Diceros bicornis minor: one gene and its partner. The protein of the gene in region 2 purifies or fractionates together with the protein of the main gene of each other region. This does not show direct contact. Links are inferred from orthologs where the notes say so. Each region holds a gene or a part of one and is shown on either strand. Other genes may lie near its edges.

Region 1 (3,904 bases), on a different chromosome or scaffold from region 2:
GGCAGGAAATAATTAAAGGAACTATTTCCCGCTTTCCTATTTCATTTTTCCTCTGTGGTTTTTAAGCTTTTGGCTGAGAAATTAAGAAGGTAGACTCTTTATCTCTGCAGTATTTAAATTCTCCGTCTAGGGCGTTCTGACTTTCTTTTTTCCCTACCGAGAAAGAAGTTAACGCCGTGTTTTGTTTTAACAACGCAATAAAAGAAAACAAACTGGGGTCTCCTGCGGAAGCCCGGCTGAGCAGGAGGGCTCGGAGAAGCGTTCTTACCAAGCAGAAAAGACACGACACGGCAAGGTCAAGGACGAGAAAGGAAAGGAACAGCGCGGTGGCACCCTTGAAAACGTGCCGGGACTGGATGTCCACTTGCATTCCCGGGGACCGGGGGACCCCAGGGCGAAGCGGCAGGCGCGGGGAAAACCGGAAAGAACAGAAGAGAGGACAGCACGAGTCGCCATGCATTTTGGCTCCATCACAGCGGTGGTTGGTGCCACTTCCTAACATATATATAGTGAAGTCTGTCAAGATAAGGAGGGGAGGGAGAGAGAAATAAAGCAGAAAATTAGTACCAGAATGAGCAAGGCAGTGACATGCAAGTTACTAGTAGTAACTTCGGGACCTCGGTTTCCGAGGAAAATGAAGTGAAGCATAAGAATGAAACCAATTAGGTGACATTTGAACTTCCTGCCTGAGCAAATTTGGCCTGATTGCCAGAATCCAAGAAGAATACTGCAATTTCCACAGGGTGCCCGACTCCTCGCAGCCGCATCTGATTCCCAAACAAGCTGCCCGCAGCGGTGTCTGCAGCCGGCAGCCCCACGCCGGCTCGGGCCCCCGGGCTGCGCCCCAAGTCCGGCCCCGGCCGCGCTCTCCAAGTGAGCGAGCGGGTCTGAGGCTGCGGCAGCGCGAGAGGCGGGGGAGGGTGGAAAATGCGAACCATGTGTTGGGGATGGGGGGATGTTATGGGTCTGGTAGTTTGAGATGAGGCAGGAGACTGTGTGTGGCAAGGAAACGAAGGGCATGAATTTCAAGTTAATGAGATCAGGACACCCCCTGGGAGGACTCCTTACATTTCCAAAGGAAAAAGCCTCCGGTGGTAGGATAGACGCGCGCCCCAAGGCCGCAGATAACGGAAACCCCAGCGAGGGTGCGGAGGGAGGCTCTGCACATCCACGCATCCGCCCCTGAGCCCTTACCTTGGTCGGTGATGGAACGAATGCCCAGGATGTCGGTGACGGAGTGGGAGGAGGGCCAGGTGCGCGGCATGGCCACCGAGCCGGGGATGGCGGGCACCCCGGGCGGCGTGGGCACCTTAGCGGTGGCCGCCGTGATGGGACTGGGGTACGAGTAGATGTGATTATAGGGCAGCGCCGGCTGCGGCGCCGGCTGGTGCTGCTTGAATGAGTCGTAATGCCCCTGTTGGGCCAAGTTGCCGATCTTGTTGCGCAGGATGCGGCTGATGGAGCTCACTGAGGGCACGTTGTATTTGTCACACACGCCGTCTGCCAGCAGGCGGTCCCGGATCTCCCAGGCGAAGATGCCGGGGTCCCTCTGCTTGTAGGTCCGGATGTGCTTCACCACGGTGGGGGTGGTGACCCGGGGCTTGCTGCCTCCAATGGCTCCTGGCAAGATCGAGCCTGTCTCGTTGTAGCGCGCCAGGATCTTGCTGACGCAGCCGTGTGAGACCCGTAGCTGGCGGCTGATGTCACACGGTCGGATGCCCAGTTGGGCCAGTTCCACGATGCGAAGCCGGATGGCGTTGGGCAGCGGCCTCCCGTTCACGAATACTCCTCCCAGCTGGTTCACCTCCCCAAAGGCTGGCTCTGCAAAAGGAACACACGGCACGCGGGAACGCGCACCCGCAGTTTGGGACAGCCGCTTGCCACTCGGCCTCTGCGCCCGTCAGGGGCCAGGGCGGATGCAGCCGCCCCGGACTAAGGACTCCGGCTTTCCCCAAACCGTACGGTCCCTGAGCCTAGCCGAACGGCCCCAAACCACAGCGGTCCAGGCGGACCCCCTCCCTCATTCTGGTGACGCCTGCGGCCGCTACAAGCAAATAAAATGGTGCGAGTCAGGGCCGCTCTGAGTGTTCAAAAGTCTCCGAAGCAGGAGGGGAAATCGGTCTTCAGGCCGGCAACCGGCTCCTTCTTGCCTGCTCGGCGCTAAAAGTCATTGGGCCGCTGCCCCTTGATCCCCAGCGCCCCGCCTGGGGACCTGCGCAATTAGACAAGGGCTAGGGGGAACTACAGGTTTCTTCTGTTTTGTTTGCGCGGATGCGTGTAGTGAAACAGAACTTGGTCCACCTCTAGGCCTGGGGGCTTGCCGATGCCACCCCTCCGTTCTCTTAAAATCAGAAAATGGCATCAACAGCAACCCAGTAGCCAGCGTTCAGACTGAACTGCTGTGCGACGCTGACCCTTAGCGGGTTCCTACAACTTGTAGGAACACGAACAAAGTCAATAAGGAGAGCGCGAGCGCTCAGTAGTGCGCGCCCTCGCGCTCCCTCCCTCTCTCGCCCGCTCGCTCCCTCCCTCCCTTCCCGGCTCTGACAGCGTCCCCCGCCGCCACTCACCCATTGCTCCGAGCAGTACACCGACCGGGCCCCAGTTCCGCACTCGCAGAAAGAAACTTTTTGCACGGCCTCAGTGGCCCGGCCAGTCGGTGCCCCGGGCCGCCGGCGCCTCCGCTTCTCCCCGGGAGGAGGCGGCGAGAGTGCAAAAGGAAGGAGTAAAAGGAAGTCTGTGCCCTGATGAAAGAAGCTTGAGTTCTGCATTTCAATCTAAGCAGCAGCGTGGGCTGGGCTGAGCGGGGCCGGGCGGCTCCGTCTATCACTCATTAGGGTCACGCCCCCAAAGAGGAGGGTCCGAGGGCAAGCAGCGTGGTGATTGGTGCGGGCCAGTGAGCGACAGCGCGGTCCGGAAAGTCCTTCCGCTGTCTCGTTCAAGCCTGCTCTGCACCTGGGTGACTAAATACAATGAAAATGGGTGTTTGACACCTTCCCAGGGGCAGCGCAAACAGATAGCAAAATCGGGCTGATGGAAATGCTGAATAAGCAAATGAAAGCGTTTGGTCCGCGTACTAGAGACTCGAAGAGGGGAGGGGCTGAGGAGACTGATTTGGGGGGAAAGACGGACATCTCAGAATTGAAGTCAAAACTCGGTGGGTGGTGGGAGCCACCGTCATCGGAAGGGGGGTTCTTAGAATAGCTTGTCCTGCAGGCCTCCGGGGGATCCTACCTCACTCCAGCCTAGCCAGGTGGCGAGAGAGCAGATGTGAGAAGGTAGGCCCGTCGAGGGGACGAGGAAGTTTTGAGGAGACCCAGCCAGAGATGGAGGCCACTGTTACCGCCAGGTGGAGACCCCTCTCCCGCCCCCGCGACTAGCTCCCCATAGCAATCTCTAATGGGTTCATCTAAGAGCGCGGAGCCAAACCTCAGCCACGCAGGCTCGAGGCACTGGCCGCGCCGCGTGCAGACAGTGTAACCACACGCGGCCAAAGCGAGGGCACGGCCATGGTCGACCGATTGCCTTCGCGTGGGGCCCTCTTCGCGGAGGCCCGCGCGCCGTTGCGCTCAGCCACCGTGCCGGTCCGCTGGTCCTGCGTGCCGACGTTTGTCATTTCCCCCCACCCCTGAACCGCTGCAAAGGGGTTTTGTTTAAAAATGAAAGAGACTTGGTCTCAAGAAGGTGAACCCCGAGCCTGCACGTGTATGTAATTCCCGCGTCTTCCGTTTAGCTATCAGAGTCCTTGCGTGGTCTACTTCTGAATTTTCACTTTCGTTCGCTCTAAGTCTCTTTTTGGTGGCCAAAGTTACTCACATTCTGATTATGGATTATGGAGAATGTTAATCAAAATTAAAAACAAGATGGGGAACATTTTAAATAAACTTGGGAGTTTGTTCTGCTT
Region 2 (3,904 bases):
CTCCTAACAAGTAAAATACCAATAGCCCCAATCCCCATTTTAATACAGCCACTTGTATTCCAAAAACTTAGTGAACAAAAAACATCTAGAAACACAGGCATTAAAAAGCTAACGCCATGGAAAATACTTCATACTTCTTGGGTTTTTTTGTTGCTTTATTTCAACTATATAAAACCACTTGTTCACAGTTAGCTTCCTAAAACAAGAGTTTCTAAAACAAAGACTGTTTTTCTCTCTTAAGAAGTCTTTGTTCCAACAAGACCCTTCTTCAAGAGCTACAACTTCTGGAAAATTTTCCCTTTTCTGGTTATATCAACAACAAATACTCCCAAACTCTTTCCATTTGGTACAGAAGTTTGTTAAACAAAGGAAGAAGCAAGCCCCCTCCACATAAAGAAGGTTTCCAAAACAGAGCACTGGTTAAGTGTGTAGATTATTTGTGCCTCTAACACCCTTTCCCAGGCTGTAGTATGTACTACTCTCATTACAAAATGGTGGCCATCATGTCTGTCTGACATTCAGAATGGGAAAAGGCTATTGCCTTATCCTGTACCATCACACATTTTGCAAAGCTTACCACTAATATCTTAGCCAAAAAGGGGAAATGGGTAGCCAAACCTAACCAGAGCAACACAGCCTTTTTGGGAAAAAAGCCCTAAAAAAAGCAAAGAATAAGAAATAAGATAAAGGGTTTACCCTAGTACTACACCACAATACCAACATGGAGGACAACTCACTCCCAGGAACCTGACTCCACACATTCTGGTTACCAAAAACTTGCACTGCCTAAATTTCTGAATAAAGTCCCATTAAGGCAAACGTACAATATTCATATTCACGTTTCCTAACATATAACATAAAACTACACTAAATGTTTGAAACATGACCTATTCTTCAAGAATTAAAACCTTGGCTCTAATCAGCCCGGTTTTAACTTCTGCAGGCCTCTTCGCTCTCTAAAACAAATGCACTTCCCTTAAGCAACAAGAATCAACCTTGTCCACTTCTTGAGCGAAACGCATCTACTTTCAAACATTTCTCCCATACTCGCCGGGCAGTTACTTTTCTGAGACATATTTCATCTCCATTATCAAACTTGTCCAAGAAAAACTAAAGTATGGGGTCCCTGTTTTAATCTGGGGGGACAGGGAAGAGATAAGGAAGACTTATTGAGGGATCTCCCTCAAAACAGCTTTCCAAAACACAACGGTTACGTACAGAATCCCCGGAACCCCAAGTGTCATTACGAAGAGCAAGCTCAAGAAAGGAGGGAATGGAAGGGGGCTCTTCCTCATGGGGGTGGGGTGGGGTGGGGCGGGGGAGGAGAGCGGGGAAGACTCCAACTGTAGGAAAGACAGTTAACCCCCCCACACAACGGTCCCAGCGCGTCCAACCGTCGTTTAGGCCAACTCAGCCTCAGACCATCAGAAAGGTGGGCAAAAGAACAGGGTGGGAGCGCCTCCGGTTCCGGCCGGGGGTGGGTAGGGGGACAGGGAAGGAGTGGGCCCGGCTCTCCTAGCGAGCGTTGGGGCCGTTAGAGGTGGCAGCAGAGACCCCCGCCCTCACACAGCCCCCAGGCCGGGCGCCCCACACGGGGCTGGAGGGCCGCGGCGGGGGACGGGACGCGGACACGAGCGTTAACCTTCCCGGGTCTTCTCGCCGACCCCCCAACCCAGCCCACCGGCACGGCCCGGCCCGCCGCCCCACAACGCCGCCCCCAAGCACGGCCGCGCCGGGGCCAGCCCGCGGCTCCTCGCGCCCCCGGAGGCCCCAGGCCCGGGGGACACGGGAGCCCGGGGACCAGGGGAGTGGGCGCCCCGGTCCGGAGGGTGGGACGCCCAGGTGAGGCGGCTCCGGCCCGCCGCCGCCGCCACACAAAGGACCGGGCGCCGCCGCCATATTGAGAACTTTCCTCCGCGCGACAACTCGCGCTCCCCGCCCCCACTCTCACCGCCGCCCCCACCTCACACTCGCGTCCCCACTCTCACCGCCCCCCACCTCACACACAGCCGCCGTCACCACACACGTCCCACACACTCCTGCACCCCCACTCACACTCGTCCCCCACCTTTCACCGCCCCACACCCGCCCCCTCACACACCCGTCCCCTCACACACCCGTCCCACACAGCCGCGCACGCACCCCTCACACATCCGCCCCTCACCCCGCCGCCTCCCCCAGCTCACCCGCCGCACGCAGCCCGCGCCCAGGCGGAGCCCCGGCCCGGCCCCGGGACCAAACCCCGCGCCGGGAGGGCAGCCGGCAGCCGAGCACCGCGCCCCCTCCGGGCCCCGGGCCGACTCCGGGTCGGACGCGCGTCCCCGGCCTCAGGCGGCCCCGCCGCCCCCGCTCGCTCCCCTCCTCCGCCCGCCTCGGCCCCGACCTCCCGGGCGACTCACCGGCGGCGGCCGCACCTTACAGATGCCCGTCTGCTCGGCGATGGGCCGGATCTTGTGGATGAAGGCGAAGGGGTCGGCGAACTCCTCCCAGCTGGGCTCGAAGACCGGGCACTCGGGGGGCGGCAGAAACTCGCCCAGCGGGCCCGGGCCCCCGAGGGGCAGCGCGGCGGCGGGCTCCATCCACGCGCGGTCCGGCGGAGCCCTCGGCCTGCTCTGCCTCCTCCTCCTCCTCCGCCGCCGCCGCCGCCGCCGCCGACGACGACGACGTCTCGCCGCGAGCCCACGCCGTGCGCCTCCGCCGCCACGGCGAGGAAAAGGAGTCCCGCCCCACCCCCACCCGCCGCCCCGGATCGGGCGGGGCCGGCCTCCCGCCCCCGAGGGCCATGGAGTGGACCCTGACCGGCAGCTCACGACGAGCCCGAGTCCCTTCACTCAACAAGTTACCGGTCTAGTGGAAGGATCCGACTTCGGAGTGGACTGCTCGAGCATGTGGAGACTCCGCGGTCGGCGCCACGATAGCAGCGCGCACGCAGTAACCCGCAGAGGCAGAGCGCCGGGCACGGAGAAGGACTTTCCAGGGAGAAGGAACAGCTCCAACTAAGGACAGCGTGGACGGACGCGAGGAAACAGTTACAACGATAGTAACAAGCTAACACTTTTGAGCACTTGCACATTCTAAGTGCTTTGCATGATTAATGATTTAATCTACACAACAACCCTATGAGGCAGGCACTCTTACTTCCACCTTACAAATAAGGACAGCGAGGCACAGGTTAAGCCGTTTGCCCAAATTCATACGCTAGTAAGTGACGGAGAGTCGATTTATTGGAGGGTGGGGGTGTTGCAGGAAAAGAGTGGTCCACGAGCAATATGACTGCGAGGTTGGATGTGAGAGCAGCAAAAGACTTTTGAAATAATCCAGATGAGAAATGATGGGGCCCAAATTAAGGCAGTAGTGCTGTTGATTAGGAGGAAGGGATGCAAAAGTAGGAGATAAAATTAGGACGCGGTGATAAATTGGCGACAGTAAGGTATCAAGGATGATTCAGGAGTCTAGGGTGCATGCGTGAGTGGATGCTGGCCCGTTGGCATTGCTGGGCCCTCACCTAGATTATATAAACAAGGAGAAGTCAGTCTGGGGAGGGAGATAATGTGTTCACTTCTGGACATGCTGAGTTTGAGCTGTCTTTGCTACAGTTGAAGATAGCCAACAGGATAAAGGGTATAAATCTGAAGGGGAGAGATCAGAACTGGAGATGTAAATCTGAGCGTTATTAGTATATGAGTGATAGCTATTATTTATCTAACGCTGACTGTGTATTGTTGTAAATGCGTTGGTATGTCATTGAATCTTCACAACTATCCTGTGGGGTAGGTACTGCTATTATCCCCATTTTGCAGAGCAGGCAATGGAGGCACAGAGAGGTTAAGTAGCTTTAAGAGATATGAACACTTTTAATGCACTTTTGTGGGGGAGGGTGTGCGTAGTGTCCTGCCCCCAGAAA

The links.
Region 1: the proteins of KDM5B (region 2) and PAX9 purify together in Homo sapiens (affinity purification with western blotting, with the first as the bait; 3 studies listed by BioGRID). This does not show direct contact. The link is inferred for Diceros bicornis minor from reciprocal best matches to the Homo sapiens genes KDM5B and PAX9.

Annotation. Positions count from the first base shown.
Region 1 is NC_080744.1:12,973,967-12,977,870, forward strand, and holds the start of PAX9 (paired box protein Pax-9), read right to left. Parts: upstream 2,575-3,904; coding exon 2,571-2,574; intron 1,822-2,570; coding exon 1,195-1,821; intron 1-1,194. UniProt on the Homo sapiens protein: Transcription factor required for normal development of thymus, parathyroid glands, ultimobranchial bodies, teeth, skeletal elements of skull and larynx as well as distal limbs.
Region 2 is NC_080777.1:30,853,696-30,857,599, forward strand, and holds the start of KDM5B (lysine-specific demethylase 5B), read right to left. Parts: upstream 2,595-3,904; 5' UTR 2,580-2,594; coding exon 2,400-2,579; intron 1-2,399. UniProt on the Homo sapiens protein: Histone demethylase that demethylates 'Lys-4' of histone H3, thereby playing a central role in histone code. Does not demethylate histone H3 'Lys-9' or H3 'Lys-27'. Demethylates trimethylated, dimethylated and monomethylated H3 'Lys-4'.